Lytechinus pictus: one gene and its partners. The main gene of each other region encodes a partner of the protein of the gene in region 3 in a complex. Links are inferred from orthologs where the notes say so. Each region holds a gene or a part of one and is shown on either strand. Other genes may lie near its edges.

Region 1 (7,129 bases), on a different chromosome or scaffold from region 3:
TCCTCAAGAAGTGTCAAGATTATTATCTGTATCAGTACTTAATTTATTATCTAAATTTTGAATATCTTTTAATAGCTGTTTCTTTACATTTTTTTTCTTTCTTGTTGCGTGTACAATAATCTATACAAGTACCAGTAATTGTGCACTTAAGAGTCCCATAAAATATTAGGGTTACATTCACTTTCTGAATGAGTTTGATGCGCAAGATTTGCAATGGACCGACCACACACTGATTCCTATATACCCCCTTCAAACTTTGTTTGGCGGAGGTATAATGCACTTTTCAATTATATTCCTGGCCCTGGGGGTCCCGGGACATAGCCGGGAATGTATAAGACTGTCCCTGGCCCACAATTTGAAACAAAATTTTGACAAACTTTACAAAATGGTCCCTTTTTTTTATACGCACTGTAGTTGCCGGTTCGACATATGATAGTTCTTATTTTATCCAAAAGATATTGAAATTTACCGTCATTTTGATATTAATTTTCTTAAACCCGGGCAATTGAATTTGAGAAATGCTTGCCCACACATCATTTCTAGTTGCCTCAGGCAAGCAGGTTTGTTGCACCCTGAGGACAAATTCTAAAGAATAGATCAATTAATGCAAGATAAATAAACGAATGAATGAATGGATAAACGAGGAAATATCTAAACATGAATAAATAATTTCATAAGTAAACACCTACAAAAGGCTACATGCAAGATTTATATCTAGATCTGAACTGGGTTCCAAAAGAATGATTTATATGTGTGAGGAACTCGATGCTGGCTCTAAATCACCAATTTTGAGGCTAACTGAAGGATGGATATGGTCTTATGGAGTGAAATCAGGATGGAAAGTAAGAAATTAAGCTTCTGATTTCTGGAATGGAACTAGACCAAAAGCTTCGGTCTCTGTTATGTTGGTTGTTCCGCTGAACTCCGTTGGCTCCACTCACCAAATACAGAGACCGAAGTTCTAGCTCAATCTGTACAGGGGACTCATGACAATGGCCATATGTTTATGTATTTAGTTTGGATAAAACAGGGAAGTGAAGTTGCGCGACAGCCGAAGTAAGTCACTGTTTTTTCCCCTTTTAAGTTTATTTTCCCCGTTTGGTGCATTTCAGGCCAAAACGGAATAATAATCTTGACTTTATTTTGGTACAGTTCTTTTTATATATTTTTATGAAATAAAGGCAAAAATCGATGAGCCCCGTCGGGGGGATTTTGCATTGTTAATCCCCTAATGGTGGCTGCACGATAGCGAGCCATCTGTGTATGAGGAGAAATAAAAAATAATAAAAATGTTAAAAAACTCCTCGAAACAGACGGCTGACAGCTGTCTAGAATGGAACCTGCACAAACATCAAGTTAAGACTTTTTGTAACGAGTCACAGACACAGGAATCAGGATGATTTTATAAATAAGACTGAGGATGAAAAAAATGTATTTGCAAATAAATATACCAATAAATGATTTAAAAAGACAACAAAAGACATCAGCAACATCAGCGCCTCAATCAAGCACACATGTCTTCCTTCAGTTAGGTGGCCACGCCAATTATATTATCGCGGTATGCAATTTCTGATCTACGCAAGTGAGCGGGTGATATCATCTTTCTGTGATAAATGTGTTCGAATTGTACATGGGCTAACTAACGTCATGGTCAATGAACAAAAATGTGGAAATAAATGTATTTACTCTTTCCTCCCGCTCCCGACTTTTCTACCAGCAAACAAGCAAATGATGGGGCCCAATATCAAACTTCAATACGAAATTGCAAATCACCTTTTGCCAGACGACAAGCTGGAAAGAAACTTCCAGTGGAAGAGCGCAGTCTTTTCGAGACTTCTGAACCCAGAGACAAAACTAGATGCCATGTTTAATGTTTAGCTGTCGAGTATACACCACAATACTATACCCATACTCGGAGATTGTTATGCAACGTCGATCAGGCGCGCGCGCGGGCCGCGCATAGGTGTGCTGCTCTGCGTTCTCATGTCAATTACCGGTATTCATTTTCTTTCTTTCTTTCATGTGCCTTGAAAATGTATCCACTAACAAAGTTAGATAAACAAGTCGCCGATGATTTTTTTCTTTGTTCTCCTGATCACTTCATAATCTTAATTTGTAAATATTAGTCAATTAAGTTGTTTATGCGATGCATAGTTTGTATGTTGATGATTTATTAATAAAAACATGACATGTTTATGTCGTAAAATATGAAAGTCATATTTAAGAGGTAAACAATCAAGTGGAATGACTATCTGCTGTCTCACCTGCATCACGCGATATAGTAGCAGTGCTGACTTTGAAAACTAATATAATTATTCACAAAAAACACCATTCATATATAATGATACAATACTATATACGATCATTGACATTTGAACTTGATCATGTGACCTAAAACTTGTCAGTGCACTTGATTACCCCTATATCCACATTTTATACATTATATGACAGCAAATATAGTAAGTTACCTCTAAAATAGCCAAAGTTCAATGACCTTAAATGACCTTTGACTTTGCGGTCATGTGACCTGAAACTCGCACAAGATGTTCAGTGATACATGGTTATACTCTTATATCCACGTTTTGAACTAGACCAACAGGCCTACACTTACAGAGAATTCAACAAATACGTCCAACATGGCCAAAGTTCATTGACCTTAAATGACCTTTGACCTTGGTCATGTGACCTGAAACTCGGACGGGATGTTCAAAGATACCTGATTACTCTCATGGCCAAGTTTCATGAATCAGATCCATATAAACTTTATTATGATGGTAATTCAACAGATACTAGCCAAAATTCATTGACCTTTGACGTTGGTCATGTGACCTGAAATTCGCACAGGATGTTCAGTGATACTTGATTACTCTTATGTCCAAGTTTTATGAACTAGACCAATAAACTTTCAAAGTTATGATGGTAATTCAACAAATTCCCCCATTATGGCCAAAGTTCATTGACCCTAAATGACCTTTGACCTTAATCATGTGACCTGAAACTTGCACATGGATGTTCAGTGATACTTGATTATATACTATTATGTCCAAGTTTCATGAATCAGATCCATAAACTTTCAAAGTTACGGATGGAAATTCAACAGATAGGCCTATATATAGGCCTACCCCCAATTTGGCCAAAGTTCATTGACCCTTAATGACCTTTGACCTTGGTCATGTGACGTGACACTCAATGATCAGGATCGATGTTCAGTAATACTTGATTAACTTATGTCCAAGTTTCATGAACTATAGGTCCATATATTTTCTAAGTTATCATGACGTTTAAAAAAATTAACCTTAGGTTAAGATTATGATGACATTTCAAAAACTTAACCTTAGTTTAAGATTTTGATGTTGATTCCCCCAACATGGTCTAAGTTCATTGACCCTAAATTACCTTTGACCTTAGTCATGTGACCTGAAACTCAGGCAAAATGTTCAGTAATACTTGATTAACCTTATGGCCAAGTTTCATGAACTAGGTCCATATACTTTCTAAGTTATGCTGTCATTTCAAAAACTAAAAATTATAGATTAAGATTTGGTGTTGACGCCGCCGCCTAAAGCGGCGCCTATAGTCTCACTCTGCTATGCAGGTGCCCGGTGCATGCAGGTGAGACAAAAATTGGGCGAGGCCTAGCTATATGACGTCAATTTAAAAAAAAATGCCCAAGTGGCACCCGTCGGATTCTTGAATTAGACACCATACACTACAACTTTCAGCAAAAAATTGTATATATACCGTACCCATAGAGATATATCTCTATGACCATACCCAACTTGACGGTTTTGCAATAATTTTGATCATATCTACCCGACTGTAATCTGGGCATTCTAGAAAGTACATTTTTTTCATAATGAAAACTAATATAATGCGAGCGCGAAGCACGAGCTGAAAATATTTGATATTCTGATCTGAAAAAGGGTTAATTTAAGCACTATTTCAAGCACTGTATAGGGAAATTCTGAAGGGGGAGTGTTCATACAAAACGTTCATTTTTATTAAATTTCTGTCATTTATCATACCTATCAGATTTCCAGGGGGTGCTGTCTATGGAAAATAACACACGTTTTGTATGACAATAAATTCCCGTTGTAATCGGCTTTCCATACTCGAGCTTCTCTCGATCTCGCGCGCTACCTCGAATTTTTCTCCAACTATCCACCGCGCCAGCGCCAGGTAAGGGGGGTTTTTCTCCGGCACACGCCGGGCCGGCCGGGGACGCAGGCTGGCAGCTAGCCCGCACCGTGCACCGTGTCCGTGACTGCATGCGCAAGTGCCACAACCAAGACACTTCTCTCTAGTCTCGATCTCCACTAGCATCTCAACTGTTCTATTCAATCAAAGTACTCTGACTCTGACCTGAAACCACCAAGGCGCAAGTCTTCATGAAACCATCTCTAACAGTACCGGTACGGTACCGTAATTAGTTTGTGCTGATCTTACACTTGGCCTTACTTTTCGCTCATTGAATTTGTAAGTTTTCTTCTATTTTTTTAACAGCAACTTTGTCTTGACTTTGCTTTGGCCTTTGGCTTGGGCCTGGCTTTGGACTGGCCGGGAAATCGGGCGCCCCTACGACTTTACGTTAATGATTTCAGTGCATGGGTGAGTGGACAATGAAATGTTTACTTAGTTTTAATGGATATGAGGTTCCGATGTTCAGGATGTTCGGATACTTAAAAATAAATTAAATTATAAATAAAGCCAAGGCGCAATTCGTTTGCCCTTGCTTGTCTGACTTTAACCCAGAGAGCTCCCGCCCGCACAGCGGGCAGGAGCCCAGAAGCTTACCGTGTATTTTACCATTGTCACCGGACTAGGGTGATTTATGGTCTAAATATTTCTCCAAATGAATTGTGAAAACAGAAAGTATACAATTACCATGATTATATGGATGAAGGTCTAACGAGTGGCAGATTCCTGACATCTGGGCACAGTCTGGAACCTCAAAAAAACGAAAAGTTCTCTCCTTCTACCCCGTCTCGATCGGCCATTTTTGTTAAAAATCGTAACAAAATGGCCGATCGAGACTGGGTAGAAGGAGAGAACTTTTCGTTTTTTTGAGGTTCCAGACTGTGCCCAGATGTCAGGAATCTGCCACTCGTTAGACCTTCATCCATATAATCGTGGTAATTGTATACTTTCCGTTTTCACAATTCATTTGGAGAAATATTTAGACCATAAATCACCCTAGTCCGGTGACAATGGTAAAATACACGGTAAGCTTCTGGGCTCCCGCCCGCTACGCGGGCGGGAGCTCTCTGGGTTAGTCTGACTTAAGACGATATCTAGAAAATTGGTGGCCCCGGCCCGGGGCCTGTCTCGCCCTCGGGTAGGAAAGAAATTAATTAGATGTAAACATCCCTAACAACCTCGGGCCACCTTGAGAGGTAGGTCTAGTCACGGCCAGGCCCGGCCCTGGGCCTGCCCTGGTCCACCGATTTGTAGATGGTAAACACAAATCTACCTCGAACCTGTCTCAGTCCATTTGCCAGCTGTCGCAAATTACGTCAAAGCGCAAAAATTTCCAGGTTCAAAAGAGAGGAAAAGTGTGACAAGCAAGAAGAAGAAAAAAAAAGAAATTAAAGAGAAAGCAGGAGGGGGAGAAGAAAAGGAAGAAGAAGAGAAATAAGGAAGAGAAGAAGAAGATGAAGAAGGACACAAAGAAGAAAAAAGGAGAAAGAGAGGAAAAAAGAAGAGAAAGGAGAAGAGGAAGAAGGGCAGAAGAAGAATTAGAAAAAAGATAGTAACAAGAGGAGAAAGAAGAAGAAAAAAGAACAAGGGAAGAAGGAGAATAAGAGGGGGAAGGAGAAGAAGAGGATAAAAGAAGAAGAGAAAGGAGAAGAAGAAGAATAAAGATAGGAGGAAGAAGAATAAAAGAAGAAGGGAAGAAAAAGTAGAAGGGGAAACAAGATGAGAAAGAAGAAGAGAAAAAGAAGAAGAGGAAGAAGGAGAATAAGAGGGGGAAGGAGAAGAAGAGGATAAAAGAAGAAGAGAAAGGAGAAGAAGAATAAAGATAGGAGGAAGAAGAATAAAAGAAGAAGGGAAGAAAAAGTAGAAGAGGAAACAAGAAGAGAAAGAAGAAGATGAAAAAGAAGGAGAAGAAGAAAGAAGAGGAAGGAGAATAAGAGGGGGAAGGAGAAGAAGGGAAAAAGAGAAGAGGAAGGAGAAGTCTTAAAAACAAAACCCTTGACAAGCATTCGTATCTGCGCGATTCTAATAAAAGATACGCAACGAGCACGAACTTTATGAATTTAGGGCATTTCATGTGACGGCCTCAAAATGCAGCCTTTCTCATCAAAATCCCCGAATCGTGTGCAAAGTGAATGCGTGCGCAGACATGGGGTATCATTTTTTTTCAATCTGAAAATGACTGCCCAAGGTTTTTTCAAGAAAATCCTATATTTTCTTTCATTTTTTAATGAGAAATTTGGTACATTTACTCTTAATAATGTAAGGAACATTATTAATTGAAAGATTTTGTGAAATAAGAAGAAATTCATGTTAAATCTTAACTCAAATTGTTAGGTGCGCAGACTTGGGGCCCACCATCATACATGTATGGCAAGTTCCCCCAAGTCTGCGCACACGCGTATCTGCGCGATTCTAGTAAAAGAAGATACGCAACGAACACAAACTTTACACATGCAATACATAGAAAGATATTCATTAAAGAATCCAACTCAAAATGGTGGAAAAATAATGAATTTGGGGCATTCCATGTGACGGCCTTGAAATGCAGCCTTTCCCATCAAAATCCTCATATTGTGTGCAAAGTGAATTGGTGCGCAGATATGGGTACCATTTTCTTTTTCAATCTGAAAATGAGTGCCCAAGGTCTTTTCCAAGAAAATCCAAGATTTCTTCCAAATTTTTATGAGATATTTTGTACACTTACTCATAATAATATAAGAAACATCTGAAAGATTTTGTGTAATAAAAAATAATTATGGTAAATCTTAACTCAAATTGTTAGGTTCGCAGACTTGGGTACCACCATCATACAGTGATAGTTAAACAGCCCAGCATTCCTCTTTTAGCATGTGTATACACATTTGAGTTACAATTACATCAGAGAAGCAAATCAACAAACAAACAACTAATGGAGTGATGAGAAAGTTTGCAA
Region 2 (7,978 bases), on a different chromosome or scaffold from region 3:
GCAAGACCGATCGCAACGGCTTACAACATTGCACTACCGTTGTATGCGACCGTTCCCCTCGCAATCCCCCGTGCAACACTCGCATGTGATCGCACGAGCACAATAGGATCATAAGCGACTTACTCGTGCAACGGGTTTTACTGGTTGGTTTTGTTGTACGACAGCTGTTGCAACTGTGAAAGCCTCTGTGCGATCTTATGAGATGACTGGCGATTGATGCCTGTTGCAGCCTGTCGCACGACCAAAAGGTCGCAAATGATCGTACGTCAATTGTGAAAGGGGCTTAATAGGGGATCTTTCTACATTAATAATGCGAGCACAAAGCGCAAGCAGACAATTTTTGATATTGTGATCTGAAACTGGATAATGATTTGAATAGAGAACAAGTTGAATATCTGAATAAACATGCGCGTGTTTCAGATTTAGACCTAGAATCTAGGCATTCTACACCTCTTTTATCATGAAAAATCTAAAAAAGAGTCCATTTCAGCTATATATTTCAAGCACTTTGTAGGAAAATTGTGAGGTGGATATGGATCGCACTTAATAAAGAGCTGATAGTTTTTATTGTTAATTGAGTTTTGACATAGGACCGGGACATCCTTGGGACATGTCATATGAAAATGATGACTATCTTCCTATTCCTCTTGCTAAGCGCGAGATGAAACAAAAGAGACAACTTAATCGTTAAATTATTAATATCTTATTTATTAATGCCTAATGAGGGTGAGAAATCTGATGATATTATGGCCTGAAAACTGGACATTTCAAGCAATTTTGTAATTATGAATAGAATGCATCAGTCAAAATATTTTTTAACCATGAATGCGAGCGCAAATTGCGAGCCAATATCTTTGATAAACTGTCATGAAAATCAAAATTGAGACATACATAAATCGCCAATTAAAATGCGAGCGAGTAGCCAGCGCTATCTGATACGTTTTGACAATCAGACTTGATTTTTTTTCAAATTAAATGGAATACACAAAAATAAAAGGTACTTAATAAATCGAAATTTGCGAGCGCTCAGTGCGAGCAGAAAATTTCAATATTCAGACCATGAAGCTGTCACTTTTACAGAGCACTTTTTAAAAATCAGTTTGTAAATCACACAAAATAATGAAAGTTCGATTTCCGAGGTGAAATGTGTAATGTATATTGACTTCCAAACTTGATATTTAAGCTACATATTGAAAAATCACCTGACAGGCAATGCGAGCGCGAAGCGCGAGCGAAAATTTCATATAGTGACATGAAAGATTCTTTTTATTTTCCAAGTCTTCCCCTAATCTTATTTTAGTCACTTTGGAAAATTTGACAAGCCCCCCCCCCCCCAAAAAAAAAAAGGTTTTTACCCAAAAACGTAAGGTCATTTAGTCCAAAATACATGTAATATTTCGAATGTGAATGATGCATTTTTCTCCATCATAAAAGACCAAAAATAGTAGGGGGGACATTTGATATTGTGTCCCCCCTACTATTTTCGGTAGGGGGACACTTCCCCCCTGTCCCCCCTGGGATTTCCGCCCATGTGCGCGACCAAAAAAACACGTAAAAGGATGTCTTTTTCAAGATAGGGCACGTTACGTACGTAACGTGATAAGGGTGTCAAAACACAAAAATAATGAAAAAAGGGTATCTATTTCGCTAGGAAAGCTACGTGTTTAGGGTCTAATTTTGGGGGATGATAAAACAAAATTAAAATGCTGCATAAAGGATGTCCTTTTTGCCCCTACACGTCGTGTTAAGAGTCCCGATTTGCGTGAGGTGAGGAAGGTGGGGGCCGTACTAAAACAAATGTTGTGTAAATTACCCGGGGGGGGGGGGGCACTTCCATTGACGAGTGGATACCATGCGCGACCATGGGTCTCGAAAAGCACCCTAAACACGTAATTTCCATATTCTGAAAATGCATCCCTTAATAAGTATTGGCGTGTGAAACCCTACCCTTAACAAGTATTGGAAACAAAACGATACTCTTGGCAAATATTTCCTGAAATGAACCCTTAAACATGTACAGGAATGTTTTTTTGTTTTGTCACGGGTCCTTCGGACGTCAGTTTTACTTTGTATGTACTGTACATCATTTGGTTTAGTACGACCCCACCTTCTACATCACGCGCAAATCGGACTCTAAACACGTAGTGTTGGGGCAAAAACTAAAGGACATCCTTTATAAAACATTTTAATTTCGTTTTATCATCCCCGCAATTTTGACCATAAACACGTAATTTTCATAGCAAAATAGATACCCTTTTTTCATTATTTTTGTGTTTTTGACACCCTTATCACGTTACGTACGTAACGTGCCCTATCTTGAAAAAGACATCATTTTTACGTGTTTTTTTTGGTCGCGCATGGTATCCACTCGTCAATGTAAGTGGCCCCCCGGGGGTAAATTAGGTAAAACCGACGACCGACGGACCCGTGACACACCAATAAAATATCGCTTTATACTTGTTTAGGGGTTCATTTCAGGGAATACTTGCCAAGAGTATAGTTTTGTTTCCAATACTTGTTAAGGGTAGGGTTTCAGACGCCAATACTTGTTAAGGGGTGCATTTTCAGAACATGGAAAATACGTGTTACCCGTGGTCGCACATGGTATCCACTCGTCAATGGAAGTGCCCCCCCCCCCGGGTTACAGGGTAAGGTAGGTTTTCACTCACACGCCTATACTTGTAAAGTGATGCATTTTCAGAATATGGAAAATACTTGTTTAGGGTGCTTTTCGAAACCCCATGGTCGCGCATGGTATCCATTCGTCATTGGACCCCCCCCCCCCCCGATTCCATCCCAGAAGGAGAAACCAGTTCCACTGGACCAGTAAGACCAGTATAATTTTAACTGGTGACTCTGGAAATTGGAACATCGGTTTACTGGTCTAACTGGTCATACTGGTCCAGTTAAAATTTTACTGGTCCAGTTAAAAATTAAAGTGGTCTTGAATTACTGGAATTTTATACTGGTCTTGTTTCTGGTGGTCTCACTGGTCTTAATAATAATAATAATAATATTTGAAATTTATATAGCGCATAATAGTCAAAAGACTCTCTATGCGCTTTACAAAATATATTCAATAAATAATACATTAAATCTTATCTGAATCATACAATAAACCTAAACCTTAATCCTAAAATACTTAATACAAATTAGAACAAATTAAATCAATACATAAAGTTACATCATTAATGAAATGAAAACTTACAATATTTAACAACATAATATATTTATCATCATAAAATACTATTTTGAAAATAAGTGAGTTTTGAGCATTTATTTAAAGATGGGGAAAGATGGTGCAGTTCTTATATTTAAAGGTAGAGAATTCCAGAGTACAGCGGCAGATAAAGAAAGGGCTCTTTGACCATATGTATTTGTATTTGTGGAGGGAACAGTGAGAAGATGTTGTGAGGATGATCGAAGGTTACGTCTTCACACTGGTATCCAATTTAAGCGGGTCTTTACTGGTATTTTCTCTACTGGTCTGACTGGTCCTCAAACTGGTCGAACTGGATCAATTTAATGTGTGTGTGTGTATTTGAGTTTTGTCAGACGTGTATCAATCAGATATGATTATAAACGTCTGGGACCGACCTTTAACGTCACCATCCGAAAGACGTGACCAGGGATCGAACCTCGAATCTCTGCATCAATTTGTAACTTCCCCACATAGCTTGGATTACAGGCGCACGCCACAACGCCCAGTTACATGCATTTGGTTTGTTATATACCATGGTCAGTGAAATGTGATGGAAAAGATGGTTAGTAAATTAATCTTTCTGCTGTTATTTTAAATGTGATATATGAAATTACACATTTTCATTGTGAATTAGTTCACACACTTATTCAGAAAGTTTTTAAACAACAATGAGTGCCATTGCAAGGATATTCCATTCTAAATCCTGATTTTTCTTTTAAAAACAGGAAATATGCAAATGAGGTAAACCACGTGATCAGCATCATCAGAATTACTGGTATTACTGGTCTTGACCAGTTCAATTTCAAACAATTTTACTGTAGACCAGTTGACTATATCAGAGGAATATATCTTGCTCTTAATCATAATTAAAGGAAATAATTATATTTCAATGATAATGTTAATACTTGATAATTATGATAATGTTAATAATAATAATTACAATATCAATAACAATGATAACAGTAATAAGAATGATAACAACAATGATCATAATAATCATAAAAATAATAATCATGATAATTATAAGAATGATGGTAACAATCGATAACGATAATAACTTTCTCTGAATTTCAAGATTCATTTTCCATAATTCGTCAAATGATCTGACTTGAAATAAAATCATTATTTATCGGACCAGTAACACCAGTTTGATGAAAAACAATTTAACTGGTATTACTTCTTTGCTTCAACTGGAATGCAATTGTTTGAACTGGTGTCCAGTTTATTTTTACTGGTCCAGTTAAAAATCAACTGGTCCAGTAAACATATACTGGAAACCAGTAAAAATCTACTGGAAACCATTTATTGGACCAGTAACACCAGTTTGATGAAAAACAATTTAACTGGTATTACTACTTTGCTTCAACTGGAATGCAATTGTTGGAACTGGTCTCCAGTTTATTTTTACTGGTCCAGTTAAAAATCAACTGGCCCAGTAAAAATATACTGGACACCAGTAAAATTCTACTGGAAACCAGCAAAAATTCTTACTGGTCTTACTGGTTTTTCCTTCTGGGATTTTAAAAGTATTTGTTTTTTACAATAATATCTTGACTATCAATTGGACCTCGTGGTCTTTAAGAAGCTGCATATTCAAAGATAGCATGAAATTCATCACCAATACTGTCACTTTTACACAGAGTGCAATATTTTTCATCATAGCATGTGTCGTTTAAAAAACCAAGGGTCGGCCATGGGGGCGGGGGGGGGGGGAATGCGTCATACATTGGGGGAAATCCCCTTTTCAGATGACGACGGAGATGGCAGCATAAAGTTGTAGGCAGGTTGAACTAGGAGTGGGAATTCGAATTTCGAAACCTTATTTCAAGTCAAGTTATAAATTCAGAGATTTTGAAGATCAATAAGTAAGTAAACAAACTTTGTCGCTGGACTGTAATGTAAAGCTTATTTTAGGTAAGCCCTTTATTGTACCGGTATAGCGTTATTTGGATTTACTATCCTAGTTTATTGAACTTAAGTCACGTTAAGTTAACCATGGCGTGCCATGATAACTCACTGTCACTGACCATGAATGATGACAGTCTTGACGCTGCAGCACCCGCTTCGCGGGCCGAAGCTCCCTGCCGAGCTGCCTGGGCCGTGCTGGGCATGCATTGCTGGGTTAGTCACTTAGTGCGTTATTATAACCTTGTTCGTACTCGTAGGATAAGTGGGTTAGTGTAGAGCTAGGCGCTAGTGTAGTTTCGCACCTCCCCGAATAATGGTTTTCAAACATTTTTTGAAGATACCATAGGCCTAGGCCTACTTTTTATAGAAAAACTCGCTCTAATTCTTGCACTTCCCTAGACACTAGGTCTAGGTGGTACGTACCGTACGCGTACTGACTGCTTATGTGCAGCGCTGAGCTTGATCAAGCGACCGAGTGATTCCGAAATAGGTGTAAAACTTTGTAAAAAAAGTGTCAAAACGGCAAATATTCAACTTCTACTGGACTTTGGAGGCTCAGATGCAAGTATTTTAGGTTGTGAATTATTTAGGGTGAGATTGTACATGTTTGAAAACCATTAAACGGGGAGGTGCGAAACTACACTAGCGCCTAGAGCTAAGTTGTAGCTTGTCGCGGCCCCGGGGGGGGGGGGGGGCACTCAGTATATAATGCATAGTGGGTATGTGCCGCGGAGGGGACCCCCATTTTTACACTCAAATTTCCGTTCCAAGGCATAGCATTTTTGTCTTATTGAGAAAAAGAACAAAGAAAGCCGCTCCAAAGCATAGCATTTTCTTCTTATCGAAAAGCGGCCGCAGAGCGCTGTCCGACCATCGCCTCTGCGCGAGGGCACTTGACGGCCGGGCTGCCAGGCTAGCTGCATCATGCACATCATGCATACGCACTCACACGCTGGCGATCCGTTCCAAGGACCCCCGTTTTCACAAACATTTGTAGTTCCAAAGCCCGTTCCGAGGACCCTCCTTTTTACAATAAGCCCGCTCCAAGGCCCCCGTTTTTTGTCTCGCCCGCGGCACACCCCTACCACTTTTTTGGTCGAGTGCCCCCCCCCCCCCCCCCCCCCCCCCGGGGTCGCGGCAGATCCGGTGCCTGGCCTGGCAGCACTCTTAGTCCTACTCGATACTCCTACCTAGCCTGGAGGCGTCTGGGGAGTAAAAGTCATCTACTCTAGTCTCTACGTAGACCAAAAGATTCGGTCTCTGTTATGTTGGTTGTTCAGCTGAACTCCATTGCCATTGGCTTCACTCACCAAATACAGAGACCGAAGTTCTAGCGCGATCTGTACAGGGGATCAATGGCCATATGTTTATGTGTATTAAGTTCGGATAAAACAGGGCAGTGAAGTTGCGCGACAGCCGAGGTAAGTCACTGTTTTTGTTCCTTTTAACTTGATTTTCCCCGTTTTTTGGCAATTAATGGCTAGAGGGAATATTAATTTGCATTTCGGTCGCGTTAATTTTCAAAAGTTTGATTCATTAAAGACAAAAATTGAAGAGCCCCGACGGGGGGATTTTGCATTGTAAGTCCCCTAATGGTGGCTGCACGATAGCGAGCCGTCTGTGTATGAGGAGAAATTTTAAAAATAAAAAAATGTTAAAAAAACTCCTCGAAACAGACGGCTGCCAGCTGTCTAGTCTCTACGTAGTCTTAGTAGTAGAGTAGATGACTTTTACTCCCCACTGACGCCTGGTTCGCTTACGCATTGGTCTATTCACACTGTAGGTTTTCCCACGGTAAAAGTAGAGCTAAATTATTTGGTAAGGATAACTAAGTTTTCCCCCCAAATTTAATATGTTTGTATATATTCCTTCAATAAATAGTAGGATGGGGGGTTCGGGTGTCCGGACACTATATTTTTGAAGCCCTTCTTTTTTGTCTTTGGATTACACTAAAAAATATGAATTCAATACATGTAGTTGTAATTTGTAATCATCTTCTATTTTGTTCTCTATAATATTTCCTAACATTTTGTACCAAAAATTGATGAAACTTCACCTGTAAAATTTTCCAAATGACTTTCTAAAATTGATCGTCCGGACACACAACCTGTCCGGACACACAACAACTGGGTGTATAATATGAAAAATAATTAAGACGAGCACGAGCGTTGACTTACCAAGTCTGTTTTGGTCGCCATCTTGATGTCTTTGTTATTGATACCTAGATACCACACGTGTGTATAGCTGCCAATTTGAATTTTAAAAATACTTGACTCGGCCGATAAATATCATGAATCGTAAAATACTTGCCTCGGTTGATAAATATCATAATGCAGCGCGAGGATAGCCGGGTAGAGTGCTCAACAGTTGGGAGCGGAACATTATTATTTTTTTTGTTTCTTAACATTAGGAGTGGGCTATACATGGGTCAAAAATACTTTTTTTGTAATTTCAATATGACAACAGTTTTTTTTTATTCCTTGTAATGTATCTCAACATGAAATGATAATATTTTTTGTCTCGAGTCCGAGAAAAAAGTGTGCCGGGCCAAAATCCAAAATGGCCGCCAAACCCCCCAAAATCACAGTTTTGGCCACAACTTCTTTATTTGGTGGTCTTTTTCTCTGGTTTTGGTGTCTATTCATATGTATTTGGGGGCAGGCAATTTGTTTTTCCTATGATTAGTACTTTTAAACCATTATTTGTAGAGTTAAAAGGTAATTATACCTAAATTTTCCAATTATTATAGTTTTTTTCAGCCAAAAAGTAGGTTTTATCGTCCTGGGGTTATTGGATATTAGATGGTACGAGGTCAACAATAGAAAGCAGCTTCATATAGCTATATTGCTTTTATTCCTCTACTTTGGG
Region 3 (7,339 bases):
GAATCTCCCGTCTGATAACGTGGTTACGACCCTTAGAGTTGTACAACTCTATCTCAATTTCTGCCCTGTTGGTCCCTCTCTTCACAAACTCACCAAGCTGCAATGAAAAGATGTTTAAAGAAAAATAAATCAAGCCAACATTATCTGTGTTGAGAAAGAAAGGACCAAAATCTCTTTTCTTAAGGTGTTACTTATTTTTAATAAGTAAACATTATTACCTGAGCTCCAACACTGGCATTTTCTAAGTACTGTTTAATACTGCAGTAAGTTTATAAAATGCAAAAAATGGCTCTTCAAAAAATTATTATGACTTTGTTAGTAATCTCACATAGGGGTTCTCACTGATCACAGCATGAATATATTAACAGGAAGGAGGAAACATTAACTGCCCCTCAGAGAGGACCTGAAGTCATCTGTCTTATCTTACCAACATCCACGGTTTCTTACTTAAATACAGTAAGAAGGCAAAAGCAATGTCGTGTCTCGCCCACTTATGAAAATAACCAGAAATATTGTGATTTGCGAGGGCATGCAACAGAATTGTATCAAAACTTCATTGTGAAATGACTGGGATGGAATAACACTTGTCAAAAGAGTCTTGCACATAAACTTTAATGTTGACCTCAAAATGAACTTTGACCATACCATGTGACCTCCCAACACAATAGCATGCAGGTCCCCTAAGTACATCTACCATCCAAGTTTGGTTGAAAAGTGATTTACGGTTGCAGAGTTATGTGTCATAAGAGAGTCTTGCACAGAAACTTTAACGTTGACCTGAAAATGACCTTTGACCTTATCATGTGACCTCCGACTGTAGCATGACATGCAGGTCCCATAACTACATCGACAATCCAAGTTTTGGTGAAAGGTGACTTGCCGTTGCGGAGTTAGGTGTCGGAAGAGTCTTGCATGTACCTTTAACGTTGACCTGAAAATGACCTTTAACCTTAACATGTGACCTCGGACTGCAGCATAACATGCAGGTCCCCCAAGTCCATCTACCATCCAAGTTTGGTTGATAAGTGACTTATGGTTGCGGAGTTAGGTGTCATAAGAGAGTCTTGCATGTAAATTTTAACGTTGACCTGAAAATGACCTTTGACCTTGCCATTTGACCTCCAACTGCAGCATAACATGCAGGTCCCCCCAGTCCATCTACCATCCAAGTTTGGTTGAAAAGTGACTCACGGTTGCGGAGTTAGGTGTCATAAGAGAGTCTTGCATTTAATCTTTAACGTTGACCTGAAAATGACCTTTGACCTTACCATGTGACCTCCGACAACAGCATTAACATGCAGGTCCCCCAAGTCCATCTAACATCCAAGTTTGGTTGAAAAGTGACTTATGGTTGTGGAGTTAGGTGTCATAAGGTTTGTGACGGACGGACGACATTTGGATCCGTAAGTCTCGCCTTCACCTCTGGTGGACGAGACAAAAAGGCATCAGCCACCAACTTCAGCATTGGGTGGTCAGTAGTGTTTCCTTTACTGTCATATACCGATTACACTATACTGGCTCTTCATGTATAACCAGAGGTGTGAGTGATCACAAAAAAAGAGAGCTAAAAAATGATAAAATATTGAAAAGAGCAGAAATTGAAAGAGCTCTCACACTTTTGCACAGAGGGAACGCTAAAATAAATTGAAAGTCCCAAGTTGCTCAGTCAAACTAAAAATGCATCCCTCAAAATGACATCACTGTAATGACAAATGTTTGTATGCACAGTTTTTCAGGCTATGAAGTGCATAATGAATGTTCCACTTCCCTGTTGAAAATGAATCACCAAGACAAAGAAAAACCAAGTTTTAGATGTAATGTAACTTCTTTATGGATCCCCGACCAACTCAATCTCCATACACAGCTTGGACAAAGACCCACCAAGCCTGGAAAGAAAACTCACATCCTTGGCTCTGCCGAGAAGATTAGTGTTGCCGTTGAGACCGAGGCACATGGCACACACTATGGTGGATTTACCCGTACCATTAGGACCCATGATCATGTTCAAATGGGGACCTGGATACACCTCACAGCAGTCATAGGTCCTATAGAGAAAACAAAATGAGAACAAGATATGTTACTTTATATACTTTATATATAGATTTTCTTGTTGACACTCATAATCACCAGCCAGCCATTTTTATAAACAGCTAGAAGAGCTCAAAATATCAAAGTCAACTATTCTAAGCAGGGTTGCCAAAAACATGTGCTAAAAATAAAGAAATCTGTGGTTTTGTTCCAAGTTCGCAAACTTTTTCACAAATTTAGGATTGTCTAAAAAATGACAAATAAAAAAACAAAGCAAAGAAAAACTTAACAGCACTGAATTTGCACAGAAGTCAGTCAATCACAGGCTAGCGGATTGTCTTCATTCGACAGGGGGTCCGGACATAATGCGAGAGCGAATGGCTGCTAGATATACATGTAACCTTGTTCTTTGTTACTAGGAATCCCTGTGTTTAGTGAAATTTTGGCAATGCTTGGCTTACTTTTCTTTCTTGTTCGTTGACTTTGTCCCCAAGAACAAGAGAAAATCAGACAAACATTGCCATTCTTGTTTCACCACACAGGGACTAGTAACAGAGAACAATGTTATAGACCTAACCTTGTTCACTGAATGAGTGGTCAGTTTCCATTAGTTTTTCATCTGTGGGGAATCTACAAGTAGATCTATGCAGTATACAACACAACATTAAAAAAAATCATTAAAAATATCACTTTTTAAAAAACCAAAATTTTTTTTCCATAGTTGCAGTTCATTTTTCATTAATAAGTTGGGGATCATTTTTGTATTCACCAGAGCACTAAAACATTTGAATTTTGGGGCATATTAACCGAGGGCCCTCTATTGGTGGAAAATAGAATTACAAGATAATTGTCATTTTACAATCTCTTGTTTATAATTTAGAAAAAATAATGAAAAGAATTAAATTCACTCTTAAGACACAAGTTATATGATGAATAGTTGTAAAGAAACTGATTGTGTTATAAAAATTAAGCATTTGTCCCCAAGAACAAGAGAAAATCAGACAAACATTGCCAATCTTATTTCACCACACAGGGAGTAGTAACAGATAACAAGGTTAGACCTAATCTTATTCACTGAATGAGTGGTCAGTTTCCATTAGTGTTTTTCATTTAGCTAAAAGTAAGGTAGATCTAAATTGAATTCTTTAATTTTTTGGAGTAACTTTACCATCTAATGTCATAATCGATTATGGATACTAACAGTAGTGTTAGAACGAGGCATTACACACAGGGGCCCGTTACTCAACACCGTCGTAAGTCTAACTTCTTGACTAAATCAGACATAGTGAGCTACTTGTCCGCTAACCGTTTCACGCAGCCCTCTTTACCAAGATCGGGTACAACAATCTTACTAAATATTTATGACACCTCCGAACCTGTCATAACTTCTTTCTTAATGACGTAGTGGCATCACGTGGGTAGACTATGACATGCGAAAGTGCCTAGAAATTTTAAAATTATAATCTTACGTAATCAATCATAGAGGTTGAAATTACATCACAAAACAAGTGGGTTAATGCATTCAATGATAATTGTACTACAAAGAAACTATAACAAGGCAAACGCCAAGCGTTGTCTTGCCTACATATTGCAGTCATGAAGAGACTGCATGTCAAAACTACATGTATGCTATATGACTTAGATGGACCTCTGTTACGAGTTTGGCGATCCCACCTCGAAGCTATAGAAAGTTATTGTGTGTACAACACAGCAGTGCCAGTCATGGAAAGTTCATTGACCTTTGACCTTAATCAAATTCAACTCACATTCGAACTTGACCTGCACCTTCAAGAGATGGACCTCTTGTTTGAATTTGGCAATCCTACCTCGAAGATATAAAAAGTTATTATGTGTACAACAAAGCACAGTGCCAGTCATGGAAAGTTCATTGACCTTTGACCTTAATCAAATTCAACTCACATTTGAACTTGACCTGCACCTTCAAAAGATGGACCTCTTGTATGAATTTGGCAATCCTAACTCGAAGATATAGAAAGTTATTGTGTGTACAGCACAGCAGTGCCAGTCATGGAAAGTTCATTGACCTTTGACCTTATTCAAATTCGGCTCACATTTGAACTTGGCCTGCACCTTCAAGAGATGGACCTCTTGAATGAATTTGGCGATCCCACCTCGAAGCTATAGAAAGTTATTGTGTGTACAACACAGCACAGTGCCAGTCATGGAAAGTTCATTGACCTTTGACATTATTCAAATTCGACTCATATTCAAACTTGACCTGTGCCTTCAGGAGATGGACCTCTGGTATGAATTTGGTGATCCCACCTCGAAGATATAGAAAGTTATTATGTGTACAACACAGCACAGTGCCAGTCATGGAAAGTTCATTGACCTTTGACCTTATTCAAATTCGACTCATATTCAAACTTGACCTGTGCCTTCAGGAGATGGACCTCTGGTATGAATTTGGTGATCCCACCTCGAAGATATAGAAAGTTATTATGTGTACAACACAGCACAGTGCCAGTCATGGAAAGTTCATTGACCTTTGACCTTATTCAAATTCGACTCATATTCAAACTTGACCTGTGCCTTCAGGAGATGGACCTCTGGTATGAATTTGGTGATCCCACCTCGAAGATATAGAAAGTTATTATGTGTACAACACAGCACAGTGCCAGTCATGGAAAGTTCATTGACCTTTGACCTTATTCAAATTCGACTCATATTCGAACTTGACCTGTGCCTTCAGGAGATGGACCTCTGGTATGAATTTGGTGATCCCACCTCGAAGATATAGAAAGTTATCATGTGTACAACACAGCACAGTGCCAGTCATGGAAAGTTCATTGACCTTTGACCTTCTTCCAATTTGACTCATATTCAAACTTGACCTGTGCCTTCAGGAGATGGACCTCTGTTATGAATTTGGTGATCCCACCTCGAAGCTATAGAAAGTTATTGGGTGTACAAAGTTATTATGTGTACAACACATCACAGTGCCAGTCATGGAAAGTTCATTGACCTTTGACCATATTCCAATTTGACTCATATTCGAACTTGACCTGTGCCTTCAGGAGATGGACCTCTGGTATGAATTTGGTGATCCCACCTCGAAGCTATAGAAAGTTATTGGGTGTACAACACAATTGTTGACGACGACGACGACGCCGACACCGACGGCGTATCTTTCGGTATCAATGATTAAAAATGTTTCGTTAATCTGTATTTTGATGACGTTTGAAATCGTAAAAGTCCGTATAATTATCATTATTTTACAAAGAAAACCGTTATGGTTTACTTTCGTAAACTATTAAAATTGGGTATCCCGGGGGTACCCATCTCAACGTCCACAAGTGATTTTTTAGTCATGAAATGAATTATTCATAATTTAATTTTCTCTGCAATTGAATGCTCCAGTCTTCATGGTGTAAGCATGTATGATGCATAATTCACCTGTGCTATTATTTTGAAAAGATTTATTTCTCAATTCATCATAATATTTGCAATTTTGTCATAATTTTTGTTTTTGAAAATTGTGCTATTTTGTGACTAAGGCTACGTCTCGTCTGCTCTTTTTACCGATAGTATCGATATCAAGGTATTCTAGTAAGGAAGCCTTTCGAGAAACAGTTTTAGTAAGATTGGAACTAACTCCGTGGTTGGTGGATAAAAATATGACTAACTTGTCCATGTGTTGAGAAACGGGCCCCAGGATACTTGACATTGGATTTTAAAGGTACGCCTATTTTTTTTCTAAAATAAAAAGATTAAAGGACAAGTCCACCCCAACAAAAAGTTAATTTGATAAGGAGAAAAATCCAACTAGCATGACACTGAAAATTTCATCTAAATCGGATTTAAAATAAGTTATGACATTTTAAAGTTTCGCTTAATTCACATAACAGTTATATGCACATCCTGGTCAGTATGCAGATGAGGGGACTGATGACATCATCCACTCACTATTTCTTTTGTATTTTATTATATCAAATATGGAATATTCTTATTTTCTCCATTATGTCCTGTGAAACAAAGTTTTATTCCTCCCTGAACATGTGGTATTACCATTGTTATAACATTAATATGGTTCAGTTAAGTTGGTCCTTTATGTCAAATTGGTAAAATTTGAAATATTGTATAATTCAAACAATAAAAAACAAAAGAAATAGTGAGTGATGGACATCATCAACCTTCTCATTTGCATGTCACTGAGTTGTGCATGTTTAAACTGTTTAGGCCTGGGACTTTCGGGTATTCGTTCCTTAATACTGCGGTGGAAATTACGCAAACAACAATCAAACAACAAAAATGCGAATTTTTCCTATCGAACAGTCTAGATTCAAGTCGTCGGCACATAATAGGAAATTGTACCAAAAAATCAACAGGTTGCATCTCACGTGTAATCGCTGATGGTGCTACATCATAAAATAACGCTGAACAGCGAAAAAAATGCGGAGCGCCTAGAACGCAACTAGCAGTAGGCTACAGCTGATCTGACGTAAACAAGCAAGTTTATTAAATAATATCGCGCGCCCTCTCTGTGCGTATAGAGAAAACTAGCGAATTAGCTTCATGCCTTCTTCGACATCAAGAAAAATTATTGATATAAAGTACCAGAAAGACAGAGAGGAAATGAAATTGGCTTCATATCGTTTGGTAAGTTTCATATCCAGAGCTTATCTTATTTGAAATATATATCATGTAATGTATAGGGACAGTGATTTTCCGTTTCAGAAAATCTCAAATTCCGTTTCAGCATGTCAGAAAACGGAAATTCCGTTTCCCCATAGACTTTGTACACACGGAAAAGTGACAATTCCGTTTACACATTTACATGCACACTCGCACTGGTCAAAATTTGTATCTGCTACTGTACCAACAACACAATAAAATCCGTTCTAATCGGATCTATGCGGGTGAATAAAATATTTTAACACACCCATTTTGCATGCATACATCCTCACCTTTCATATTATTAGCATTATTTCACGGTGAAATGATATTTCATCGATAATTTTGGGGGTTTTTGGACATCGTTATCATCAGTCAACGTCTTTTCCCAATCCGCCATCTTGGATTTTAAGACCACGATATCGTGCTGTTACATCTTCAAACGTAGAGGGCAGCAACACACAACTGTGTACATGTAGTTGAACGATACATGTGTGCATGTGAAGCCCAACCTGGCCGGCCGGGTACGGGTACGGTGCGGGGTACGGGTACAATCGAGTGTGCTGATGTCGAGTGCAGTCACGATGTGTGAATTGTCATGATAGTAGCGAAGTGAGATCGTGTTTTCTGGGGTTTTTTGGCCATTTAATATTCTCATTTTGTTGTGATTTTGGAG

What was found. The genes of interacting proteins can lie anywhere in the genome.
Region 1: structural maintenance of chromosomes protein 5-like (region 3) and non-structural maintenance of chromosomes element 3 homolog share a complex: the UniProt entries of both Homo sapiens proteins name them as parts of the SMC5-SMC6 complex. The link is inferred for Lytechinus pictus from reciprocal best matches to the Homo sapiens genes SMC5 and NSMCE3.
Region 2: structural maintenance of chromosomes protein 5-like (region 3) and non-structural maintenance of chromosomes element 1 homolog share a complex: the UniProt entries of both Homo sapiens proteins name them as parts of the SMC5-SMC6 complex. The link is inferred for Lytechinus pictus from reciprocal best matches to the Homo sapiens genes SMC5 and NSMCE1.

What each region holds. Positions count from the first base shown.
Region 1 is NC_087247.1:43,388,268-43,395,396, reverse strand, and holds the start of non-structural maintenance of chromosomes element 3 homolog, read left to right. Parts: upstream 1-4,103; 5' UTR 4,104-4,476; intron 4,477-4,503; exon of another isoform or gene 4,504-4,608; intron 4,609-7,129. Other genes in the region: NADH dehydrogenase [ubiquinone] 1 alpha subcomplex assembly factor 3-like, read right to left, coding at 1,774-1,865. UniProt on the Homo sapiens protein: Component of the SMC5-SMC6 complex, a complex involved in repair of DNA double-strand breaks by homologous recombination. The complex may promote sister chromatid homologous recombination by recruiting the SMC1-SMC3 cohesin complex to double-strand breaks.
Region 2 is NC_087261.1:31,457,235-31,465,212, reverse strand, and holds the start of non-structural maintenance of chromosomes element 1 homolog, read left to right. Parts: upstream 1-4,952; 5' UTR 4,953-5,067; intron 5,068-7,978. UniProt on the Homo sapiens protein: RING-type zinc finger-containing E3 ubiquitin ligase that assembles with melanoma antigen protein (MAGE) to catalyze the direct transfer of ubiquitin from E2 ubiquitin-conjugating enzyme to a specific substrate.
Region 3 is NC_087249.1:22,656,806-22,664,144, reverse strand, and holds the start of structural maintenance of chromosomes protein 5-like, read right to left. Parts: upstream 3,011-7,339; 5' UTR 2,003-3,010; coding exon 1,904-2,002; intron 98-1,903; coding exon 1-97. UniProt on the Homo sapiens protein: Core component of the SMC5-SMC6 complex, a complex involved in repair of DNA double-strand breaks by homologous recombination.